Macaca mulatta: one gene and its partners. The protein of the gene in region 3 purifies or fractionates together with the protein of the main gene of each other region. This does not show direct contact. Links are inferred from orthologs where the notes say so. Each region holds a gene or a part of one and is shown on either strand. Other genes may lie near its edges.

Region 1 (3,647 bases), on a different chromosome or scaffold from region 3:
AGAGCTGATGGGCCTCAGAGTAGGTTTCAGACAAGGCTTTTGCTCTGGCTCCTCTTCCTCTTCCATGGGTTCTTCTCGTTTTTCTTCTTTTTCTTGCTTTTCTTCTTCCTCCTCTTCTGATTCTGGCTCTTGCTTTATTTGTGGCTGCCTGCGCCTCTCAGCCTCTTGTTCCATCTAAAACCAAAACAATAATCTGATTAACTACAACTCTACACCATTCAACTTGATTTTTGTTTTACATTATCTCTTGTAAAATGTCTTTATGAAAAGAGAAAAAGCCAGGCGTGGTGGCTCACGCCTGTAATCCCAGCACTTTGGGAGGCCGCGGCAGGCAGATCACCTGAGGTCAGGAGTTTGAGACCAGCTTGGCCAACATGGTGAAACCCTGTCTCTACTGAAAATACAAAAATTAGCCAAGTGTGGTGGTGTGAGACTGTAATCCTAGCTACTCAGGAAGCTGAGGCAGGAGAATCGCTTGAACCTGGGAGGTGGAGGTTGCAGTGAGCCTCGCAGAATTGCACTACAGCCTGGGCAACAGAGCAAGACTCCATCTCAAAAAAAAAAAAAAGAAAAAGAAAAAGAAAAAAAAAAGGACATGGGCAGTGGCTCAAACCTGGGTAAAACAGGAAAACCCCATCTCTACAAAAAAGTATAAAGAAGTTAGGCACTCTGCTCATACTTGTAAGTGTCCCAGACACTCAGGAGGTAGAGGCCTGAGGACCACTTGAGCCCAGGAGGCAGAGGGTGCAGTGAACCAAGATTCCACCACTGCACTCTAGCCTAGGCAACAAAGCCAGACTCTGTCTCAGGGAAAAAAAAAAGGCCAGGCACGGTGGTTCGCGCCTGTAATCCCAGGACTCTGGGAGGCCAAGATGGGCGGATCACTTGGGGTCAGGAGTTCAAGACTAGCCTGATCAACATGGTAAAACCCCGTTGCCACTAAAAATACAAAAATTAGTCAGGAGTGGTGGTGCATGCCTGTAATCCCAGCTACTCGGGAGGCTGAGGCAAGAGAATTCCTGGAGCCTGGAAAGCGGAGTTTGCAGTGAGCCGAGATGACACCACTGTACTCCAGCCTGGGCGACAGAGCGAGACCCCGTCTCAAAAAAATAAATAAATAAAAATAAAAATACAGGCCGGGCGCGGTGGCTCAAGCCTGTAATCCCAGCACTTTGGGAGGCCGAGACGGGCAGATCACGAGGTTAGGAGATCGAGACCATCCTGGCTAACACGGTGAAACCCCGTCTCTACTAAAAGATACAAAAAATTAGCCGGGCAAGGTGGCGGGCGCCTGTAGTCCCAGCTACATGGGAGGCTGAGACAGGAGAATGGCGTGAACCCGGGAGGCGGAGCTTGCAGTGAGCTGAGATCCGGTCACTGCACTCCAGCCTGAGCGACAGAGCGAGACTCCGTCTCAAAAAAAAATAAAAATACAAATACAAAAATTAGCCAGGCAAGGTGGCATGCACCTGTAATCCCTAATACTAACCAGCTACTTGGGTACCTGAGGCAGAAGAATTCCTTGAACCCAGAAGTCAGGGGCTGCAGTGAGCAGAGATCACACTATTGCACTCCAGTGTGGGCAAGAGAGCGAGACTCCATCTCAAAAACAAAAAAAAACAAAACAAAAAACAAAAAAGGAAACAGCTTTATTTTAAAAACAAAATACTGGCCGGGTGCGGTGGCTCACGCCAGTAATGCCAGCAGCACTTTGGGAGGCCGAGGCGGGTGGATCACCTGAGGTCAGGAGTTCGAGACCAGCCTGGACAACATGGTGAACCCCTGTCTCTACTAAGAAAACATAAAAAATTAGACAATCCCAGCTACTCCAGAGGCTGAGGCAGGAGAATCGCTTGAACCCGGGAGGCAGAGATTGTAGTGAGCCGAGATCACGCCCATTGCACTCCAGGCTGGGTAACAAGAGTGAAACTCCATCTCAAAATAAATAAATAAAAACAAAATACTTTGAATGGCAATAGAGAAGGAATTTAAATCGCAGAAAGTAAGTGTCAGAGCAAATTATAGGAAGAACAGGTTCAACTATAGAAATAACAGATTCTAGCAAAGTGGCATTAGAAGACATACAATAGGCCGGGCGCAGTGGCTCAAGCCTGTAATCCCAGCACTTTGGGAGGCCGAGGCGGGCAGATCACGAGGTCAGGAGATCGAGACCATCCTGGCTAACATGGTGAAACCCCGTCTCTACTAAAAAAATACAAAAAAACTAGCCGAGCGAGGTGGCGGGCACCTGTAGTCCCAGCTACTCGGGAGGCTGACGCAGGAGAATGGCGTAAACTGGGGAGGTTGGAGCTTGCAGTGAGCTGAGATCCAGCCACTGCACTCCAGCCTGGGCGACAGAGTGAGACTCTGTCTCAAAAAAAAAAAAAAAAGACATACAATAGAATGGCCAGGTGCAGTGGCTCATGCCTGTAATCCCAGTACTTTGGGAGGCCGAGGCCAGTGATCACTTGAGGTAGACCAGCCTGGCCAACATGGTGAAACCCTGTCTCCAACTAACAATACAAAAATTAGCTGGGCGTGGTGGCGGGCACCTGTAATCCCAACTATTTGGGTAGTTGAGCCAGGAGAATAACTTGAACCCAGGAGGCAGAGATTGCTTGCAGTGAGCTGAGATCGCACCACTGCACTCCTGCCTGGGAAGACAGAGCCAGACTCCATTAAAAAAAAAAAAAAAAAAGACATACATAGAAAACAAATGAATAAGACATCCGCAGGATGTTTAGAATGAAGTTGTAAATCAACTAATACTGACAACTTGTGTAATTAAAGTACTAATAACGTTCCACAAAATAGCACGTTACATGGAGCATAAAATGCATTTCCCTTAACTATAAATTAAACTGCATCATAGTTGGCTTTAAGATGACATGATAACCTTAAAACAAAATCATGTGGATGGTGTATAGTATCTTACCCTCTGGAGCTCTGCATCTGGATCTGGATGCCCTTCTGCCAGAAGGCGCTGCCTGATTTCCTCAAGCTCTTCCTTCTCTCTCTTCCTATCTCGTTCATCTGCTTCCATTTCCTTTTCTCTATCACGCAATCTTTTCTGAAGAGCACTTCCTCTGTAAAAGTGAATGATAAAAGGCTTCATTTAATACTCAGATCATTGAGCAGTACACATGACATCTCCAACAGCACCTCTTTTCAATACTACAACCTGCATGCTAAGAGGTTAAAGAATGTCTTAATGTTCCATATTTATAGAACACACCAGAGTGTGTTCTCTACCTGTAAATGTATAACAAATAAGCATTATCTTGTCATTTACCACTACGTTCCCTTCATCCTTAAAGTCATTCTAATAAATGTTTAAAGAAGTAAAATAGTCGCTTTCAGAAAGGCAGCTCACATTTTGTGCCTATTTCACAAGGAATACCCAACAAATAATTTTCATTTTCCTAGATACCAACATAAAAAAATATATAAAGTAGCATTAGTAGCACTGAGAGTTCTGTATCCTCAATTTATTCACTTGTAAAAAATATCTCAGAAAGTAGTGCAGAATCAACAGAAAGCAGAGGTTCTCTCCTATCTAACAGTTCATTACTTCTCAGAATGTTGACGTTATACATTGCCACTTTATGCTTCTAGCCTTCAATAATTTTACTGATTTCATGGCATTT
Region 2 (3,647 bases), on a different chromosome or scaffold from region 3:
AGGACTTGTATGTGGACAAAGACCAGAATAGCTCACATGAAACTAAAAAGATTTGTGCCAAGCAGAAAGAACCAGGAGTGTGCTATTTTTTCCTATGCTCTAAGCATTCCTTACTGTTGAGATGATGCTGATGCTGATACTGATGATAACTATAATGGAAAAGGAATAATCACTTATGTTTGTCATGGGCTGTTTCTTGCCGTCTGCTCCAATACACCCATTGTCCTCTGCTCTCACTGAATCCCCATTCCCATCGGTTTTAAGTGTTACCAACCTGATTTCTTCTCCCGAGTATCGGCGTAGAGGCCTTTAATATCTTGCCTGGGAACACCGAGCCTACTATGCACATCAGAAGAGGGCTCTCTCCGAACGACTGGGTTACTACTAAAAGCCTTTTCCGGAGAATATGGTCTTTTTCCTAATCGCTGGCGTATATCTGAAAAAAGAGAAGAATTGCACCAGTGACCATGTGTGTGCTTTATGCTCAGAACCAGCCGCCTGAGACCTCTACAGGATCTGGCACTAACCCCTGCCCTGCCCCCCAAGTGAGGACACAGGACCTGACAATCAGGCTGCTACGTAGTCTTCCTTTGTAGTCAGTATGGATATCCCTAGGAAAATTCGGACATAGGGGCTGTCAGAGGAAAAATCCTCAACTGACTGCTCCAGAACTAAATTTCTGAAGAAACAACCATTTTTTTTTTAAAGCAGAATCAAGCAGACTAAATAATTTACAAAAGTTTCAGCAAACAAAAAATCCCGTGAGCTCCCGGAAAGCGGAAGGCACAATCTTTGAACATATAAGTAGTTTCCAATAAACGTATTACATTTACCCAGTAAATACAAAGAGACTGGAAAAAGCAAAGGATCCCTCAATCCCCCCAGAAATCTGCCTGTCCTCTGGGGTTCCCTCTCACAACGACAGCAACAACAGAAACACACTCATTGGCAAGGCCCTGTGCCGAGGCCTCCTCTCACTTTAGCTTCTCTCGGAGAGCAGCACCCTGGTCTCTCCGGTCACTGAGGCCTGAGCTCCTTTCCTCCAACGCTTCCTAGCACTGAGTCTTCCTTCACAAGACTTCCTGTTCTTTATCCATTCTGTCTCCACCGACCTAGTTCAGGCTTGTTACTTTTTTAACTCTCTACCCCACCCCACTCCACCCTCAAGTTATCTTTCTAAAACAGATATAAGATCAGGTTACTTCCCACGTAAAAAAAAATCAGGTTTGCCAACAGAGATCCTACCCTCCCCAAAGCCTGGCTCTAACGCTACTTTCACTGAGAAACCTTTCGCAATTTCCCTAGTAGATCTATGGTGGCTCTGCGTCTCCTCCAAAGGCTTCTGACATTCCTAGCACCTAGCCCAGGGTCTGGCACATAGCAGATACGGCTGAAGACCTGCGGAATCAGTGTTTGAACATACAAATGATCTAGTTCAAACTCTTAACCATTCAGACAACCACCCAACTTAATTTCTATTATTCCTGGATATAAAGTATACCAGTGTCATAGAGTCAAATATGGTCGGCCCTCCTCATCCATGGGTTCCACATCTATAGATTCAACCAACTGCTGATTGAATACATTTGGGGGAAAAAAATAAAACATAACAGTACAGCAAAAAATAATACAAATTTTACAAAATACAGGATAAGAATTTATACTGTATTAGGTATTATAAATAATCTAGAGATGACTTAAAGTATATGAGAAGATGTGTGTAGGTTATATGCAGATAATATGTCACTTTATATGAGGGACTTAAGCATCAATGGATTTTGGTATCTGCAGATTTTGGTATCTGTAGGGGAGCGGGGAGGGGGTCCTAGAAGCAATCCCCCAGAGATACCAAGGAATAACTAATTATTTGGAATGAAAATATTTAAAGCTAGTTTTTCAGAAGTCTGATTATTTTTCATCTCCTAAATTTCCAACACCTAGCCCACAATTTAGACGTAATGAACCAGGACAGCTACATCAGTTCACAGATCGCATGTTTTACTCAGGGACCTATCTCTGCCCCAGTCTGCTTTCTGGAGCTCAGAATCCAGCCAGGAATCCAAGAGAAGAACAGCACCTGATTTAGTACTGCTGACTGGCGGCCGCGGACGGGAGTGCTGACGCTTCTCATCTAGTAGATGTCGGACATCTGCAAATTTCTCAGGTGGTAATTTGTTACCAATTCGGTTTTTGATATTGCTTGAAGATACACTATCTGCCCTCATGGAGTTCCTTTAAAAAGGGGGTAGGATGGGGCACAGTTAACCAACTTCAACTGTGAGACAAGGCCCAAACAACAATCTCATACTTTGGAGGAAACAATTTAAGAAATCCAGTCTAATATGGCCAACATTCACTTACAAATCCATAAACTTATAATTATTTGCTTATGGAAACCATGATCTGCCCGCTCTAAAGAGACTGGTCCGAGTAAGCAGGTTTTCGAAGGTGGTTTCCACACGTGTATGTGCTATCACAGAGCACGTAACTACAATCCCCCTCTTCCGGGACAAATGTTAAGTAGAGGCCTACAAAGGGATTGGGGCTTCCGCTCACACATGCTGTGATTTGGCTGTAGTCAACACACGGTATAGTCTACAGTCTCTCTCTTTAAAGGGCAGACTTCTCTTCTAAAGAGATATGATACCATGCTAGGTGCCAGCACCGTTCCAGCAGCATTCTCTACCAGAAGGTTCTCTGAAAACTAAAAATGAGAATGTGGGGCCTGGCGCAGTGGCTCATGCCTGTAATCCCAGCACTTTGGGAGGCCGAGACGGGTGGATCACGAGGTCAGGAGATCGAGACCATCCTGGCTAACACGGTGAAACCTCATCTCTACTAAAAATACAAAAAATTAGCCAGGCGTGGGGGCGGGCGCCTGTAGTCCTAGCTACTGGGGAGGCTGAGGCAGGAGAATGGTGTGAACTCAGGAGGCGGAGCTTGCAGTGAGCCGAGATGGCACCACTGCACTCCAGCCTGGGTGACAGAACGAGACTTGTTTCAAAAAAAAAAAAGGAAAAAAAAACCCTTCTGGAAAAAAATAAAGCAATACTTACCATCTTTTTAAACACGTATATTGTTTGTATAATAACTAGACTTTGAGGAATTTATTTAGTTAGTGCAATTGTAAGAAAATAGAAACCTAAAGTCCATCAAAAAGTAATTGGTTAAATAAATCATAATACTTTCAAACAACAGACTACATACACTTGAAAAAAATAATGTCTACAATATGTTAAGTGAAAAATGCACAATGCAAAACTATAAATAGCATAACCTCATTTTTATAAAAAAAACACTTTTATACAAATACATCTATAGTTTTTCCATGTGCCATATATATACACACACACACACACACACAAATAGCTGAAAGGTCATTCGCCAAATTGCTAACAGTAGTTACTGTGGGGAAAGAGTGGGAATACAGATGATTGTCACTGTCTAGGTTGTCTGTTGTTTTCATAACAAGACTCACTGCTTATACAGAGGAAATATTGGAGGCGTTTATTAAACTCCTACAAGGGACTGAAATCAGAATAGATAAAAGATATAAAATTAGGAGGAATTAAGAAGTTATAATTTAAAATCAAATTTAAAGCTAGCATTGATAAAACAAAGTTTTACCTAATACTTTTCAACTGAGA
Region 3 (4,160 bases):
AAGGCCCCAGAAAAGAGAGAAGCATCTGGCAGTAGCAAATTGTTTTATTTTATCTTTCTGTGGAAAGAAACTAATTTTAAATAAGAACCAGAGCATTTAAAGAATAAATATTTTTAAAGCTCATTATCTAGTTAGAGCAGCTCTACCAAGAAAACAAGAAGAGCTCCTTGCTGCTTAGAGATGGAAAGAAACAGAAGAGGAATCAAAGTTGTTTCTCCATCACCTAGAGAGTTTTAAAATTTGTGTTATTCTAAAGTCACAGAATAAAAGGCTCTTTTATTTAAAGAACTCCTGCAAGCAGAATCTTTTGGGGCTGGTGTCTTTGAATAAAGGTTTTTTTTTGTTTTTTTTTTAAACAAAATTAAGGGCAACATTCCAAATTAAAAAAAAAAGAGGAAAATCACTTGACATTAAGCCCTTCTACTCTTAAGGTTAAGTAAAAAGAGACAGACACATAGCAAGCTCCTTTTCCCACTGCAATTTCACCAATAACTTTAACCATGAAAGCTTAAACAATTATCAAACAGTACTAATTAGCAAAAGATCACATGAAATTGGCTTCCAAAATATTTTGTTAGCCTAAATTTTTGATGATTTATGGAAATACTCAAATGGAAATAACCCAGCCACCTAAAGATCTATATAGAACTTAACATGGAGCACAAAATTACTCATGGTAACTGAACCTGTTACCTTTCTTAGATGCTTCTCTAGAAACTCAGTTCTACCGAAATCACTGAATCAGCATTAAAACCTTTTGATCCAAATCACTTCTACAAAATGTCCATTTACAATTTATGCTAGAGATGGAAGGGACAGCTCATAAGCAGGAGTGTAGAAGCAATAAGCATTAAAAAAAATAGTGTAAGTGGAAAATGAAGTACCTACTGGCACTGTCCTATGAAGAATCAGAATTATAGAGCACAAACCCCCCACCCTCCCTCACTCTCCTCCAACACACACAGAGGAAGATATTTCAGGAATAAAATTCGCTCTAAACCAAAACAATTGCTATTTTCAGATTCTATTTATTTACATGGTCTACCAAAATCAGTTATGTTGCTGTATCAGATAATATTTACTTTTAGACCATTAACTTCAATTGGCATGGTTGAAAAAATAATCATTAAAAATAAAAGCCTGGACGCACACTTTACTTTTAAATAATAATAAAAAAAAATTCTTAGTTTTGAGGTAATCAGTAAATTTCTCAGGAGACTTTTTCATTACATTCAAATTTCCATTACATTCATGATTCAACATTTGGCTTATTTAAAATTATTCGGGCATAAACTAATCCTTAAACAGCTATAACTATTGACCTAGATTTTGAAATCTTGACAGAATACCTGAGGCAAAAACAAATAAATAAATGCAAAATAAAATAAAAGCATTCTTACTTGTCCCATTGGTGGCCCTCCCATAGGGGGCATCATCTGTGGCATCATTCCATGAGGTACAGGAGGCATATTCGCTCTCTGACCCATAGGGTGCATTCCCATTGGGGCATAATGCATGCCAGGGTGCCCCATCTGAAAAACAGCGAACGTTTTTAAATGAGCAAATAATACTAAACGCTTCTCAAAAATCTCATTTCAACAAATCAGTTATCTGAAGCAACCTAATATTAAGCTTATGCATAATAATGTCACTGGATTAATCTATACCTTGTTTTAAACAAAATGCATTCTGCTAGTATTTAAAACGAGCTTGCAAATTCCGCAACAAAACGGGAAAAGTTAAGATGATTACTGGACAGCTGGATCATAGGTTTTCTCTTTTTTTTAAGCATTGACTTAATCAGCTACTAACTGGCTTGCTAAGCTTGGAGGATACATATTGAATACTAATCTTAAAACTGTTACAGTGAAAACAACAATTCTTCTATTTCATGCAAATATAAAAAATAGCCAGCTATTGTTATTTTATAACACTACTGATTTTAAACTTTAAAATGCTCTATCATATTAACTCAGGTGAAAGTCAGTCTTATAAAACACAAACAGTAGTGCCACCCAGGGACAATTCACTCCTAACAAACTTATTTCCTAACATAACCTTTAAGACAGGTAAAATTCCTTCTGTCAAAAATACATTTTTAACGACTGAGGTTCTGTTACTCACGGACACTAAATGCAAACAACTAATTCATCCCTTTCAACGCAATTTAAAAAGACAACTACTTTCTTTACCGATGAGTCCATTGTTCCATGTTTTAAATTAAAACCAGCTAATTATCTCCTGTCAATTGTCCTAACAGTTCCCCATGCAGACGACCCCACAAGTAATGAAAACAAATTTTGGCAGCCGCTGTTAAAGTCTTACAGAATCAAGCCCCTCCCTCCCCCTTCCAGCTAAATCGGGCCTAAAGCTCCAAGACGCTCACCCCGCCCAAGAGCCAGCACCTTCACCACGCATCTGTCTAGGCCAAGCCTACGGGGTACTTCCAGGGTCTCACATCCTTCTTTGTGCATCCCCACCCTCCACTTCTCTCCCTCACAACATATCCCACCATCTCGAGTTCTTCCTTCGTCCACTCTTATCTTCTTCTCCTTTCGGAGAAAGCTTCCTGTTTCTCTCACTCCGTTTTTCATTGTGCCGCCTTCCCCCTGCCCCACTGATCCCTTACCGAGGGCCGTCTCCTCAGGAAGCCGTCAGCAGAGACCCAAGAGCCGGAGCAGAGGCTTGAGCCGGACAATCTCCGCTCCCCGTCCCCAGGACCCTGCGAGGGAGGATGGCTCTCCATTTCACTCACCATGAGGCCTCCACGTTCAGCTCCCGTCCCCGGCCTCATCGTCGGGCTCAGACTGCTCCGCCGGCGGCCACTGCCGCTACACATACCAACAAGAAGCGATCTGAGTGGCTGGCGCCCACTGGGGCTAAAGGTTAAAGGCTGCCCTGCGCTACGGGGCGGGATCAGCGAGGCCAACAGGCTGACGGGCTTTCCCGCTGTCCAATCAGAATGCGCGGCCGACACGCAACTCTGCGGCGATTCGCCCGCAGCCTCAGCCTCACTCGGCGTCGCCTGCATGGGGCGGGGGGAGGACGGAGGAAGTTTCTGCGCCGAGTCCTCCGTCGGGAAAACTCTACCAACTTCCCCAGGGGAAGGGAAGACAACCGTGTCCCAGCTTCCCGAGCTTAGACCGCCTCACCCCGTAGGGGGTGGGGCAGTGGGGTCTGCCACCTTCCCCCTCCCCGCCCGAGTTACGTACGCCCCACAAACCTGAGGCCGCCAGGGGTAGGGTGGAGGGGGCGGGGGTAAGCAGCCTCTAGTGTTAGCGGTGGCTGGGACCGAATGCGCGCGCGCAGTGCTCGAGGCGGAGGGGAGGGGGCGGGGAAGGCGAAAGGAGGGGTTCCGAGGAGAGGGTTCGAGCTCGGTACGCACCAGGTGGAGAGCGCGCGCCTGGGCGGAGGAGGAAGGAGGCGTGTCGAGTAGCGTGAGGGAAGTTGTGGTACGGGTGGGGAGAACCACACTAAAGGGAGATGGGGTGAGCAGTGAAGGCACCGCCAGAGTACCAGGCAGAGAGCTGCCCTTTCTTAATAGGGGAACCTGGAGAAGAGTGTGAGCGTAGAGGGGAAGAAGGGAGAAGGCAAATAGGTTCGGGAATGTGTCGAAGGCGCGGGAGGGCGCTAGGACCCGGCGTCGAAAAGATGCGGCTTTGGGGCTGTCGGGTCTCGCGCTCCCGTTGGTGACGCGGCAGTGGCGGAGGTGTCCGGCAGGGATGAAGCGCTGCAGGGAGTGGATACTCGGCCGCCTTCGGCCTCCGCCCACTTCTCGCTGCGCGCTTTCCTGCTCCCCCTTCCGGCTACAGCCCTGGGGTCGAGCTCTGGTCCAAGCGCATCCCACCTCGCCTCAGGCCCTACGACTTCCTTTGCAACCCGCCGCCCAACCTTGCTCTCCGTGGTTTACCCCTGGGTTCTGAGGCATGGTGGTAGCGGCCACGGCCGCGGATTGGCTGTTGCGGACCCGGGGCGGGGCAGGTGGGAGAGGCTCATACTCCGCGGGTTTCGCTGTGCTTCGCGCCATGTCGTTAGCGGAGAGCGGGTGGCGGTCGGCTCTGCGGCGCCGCCGTCCCGGGACCCCGGGCCCTGTGGCTGGGCCAACATATTCCTCCTTTACTCAGGGGGACAGTTGGGGTGAAGGCGAAGTCGACGAGGAG

Evidence for each region.
Region 1: the proteins of PRPF40A (region 3) and RBM25 purify together in Homo sapiens (affinity purification with mass spectrometry; 5 studies listed by BioGRID and IntAct, with this or other methods). This does not show direct contact. The link is inferred for Macaca mulatta from reciprocal best matches to the Homo sapiens genes PRPF40A and RBM25.
Region 2: the proteins of PRPF40A (region 3) and NCBP3 purify together in Homo sapiens (affinity purification with mass spectrometry; 3 studies listed by BioGRID and IntAct, counting the BioPlex papers as one, with this or other methods). This does not show direct contact. The link is inferred for Macaca mulatta from reciprocal best matches to the Homo sapiens genes PRPF40A and NCBP3.

Annotation. Positions count from the first base shown.
Region 1 is NC_133412.1:146,280,273-146,283,919, reverse strand, and holds part of RBM25 (RNA-binding protein 25), read right to left. Parts: intron 3,087-3,647; coding exon 2,936-3,086; intron 175-2,935; coding exon 1-174. UniProt on the Homo sapiens protein: RNA-binding protein that acts as a regulator of alternative pre-mRNA splicing. Involved in apoptotic cell death through the regulation of the apoptotic factor BCL2L1 isoform expression.
Region 2 is NC_133421.1:5,298,911-5,302,557, forward strand, and holds part of NCBP3 (nuclear cap-binding protein subunit 3), read right to left. Parts: coding exon 3,628-3,647; intron 2,233-3,627; coding exon 2,078-2,232; intron 437-2,077; coding exon 275-436; intron 1-274. UniProt on the Homo sapiens protein: Associates with NCBP1/CBP80 to form an alternative cap-binding complex (CBC) which plays a key role in mRNA export. NCBP3 serves as adapter protein linking the capped RNAs (m7GpppG-capped RNA) to NCBP1/CBP80.
Region 3 is NC_133417.1:57,628,251-57,632,410, forward strand, and holds the start of PRPF40A (pre-mRNA-processing factor 40 homolog A), read right to left. Parts: upstream 2,862-4,160; 5' UTR 2,840-2,861; coding exon 2,630-2,839; intron 1,533-2,629; coding exon 1,401-1,532; intron 58-1,400; exon of another isoform or gene 26-57; coding exon of another isoform or gene 1-25. Other genes in the region: ARL6IP6 (ADP-ribosylation factor-like protein 6-interacting protein 6), read left to right, coding at 4,026-4,160.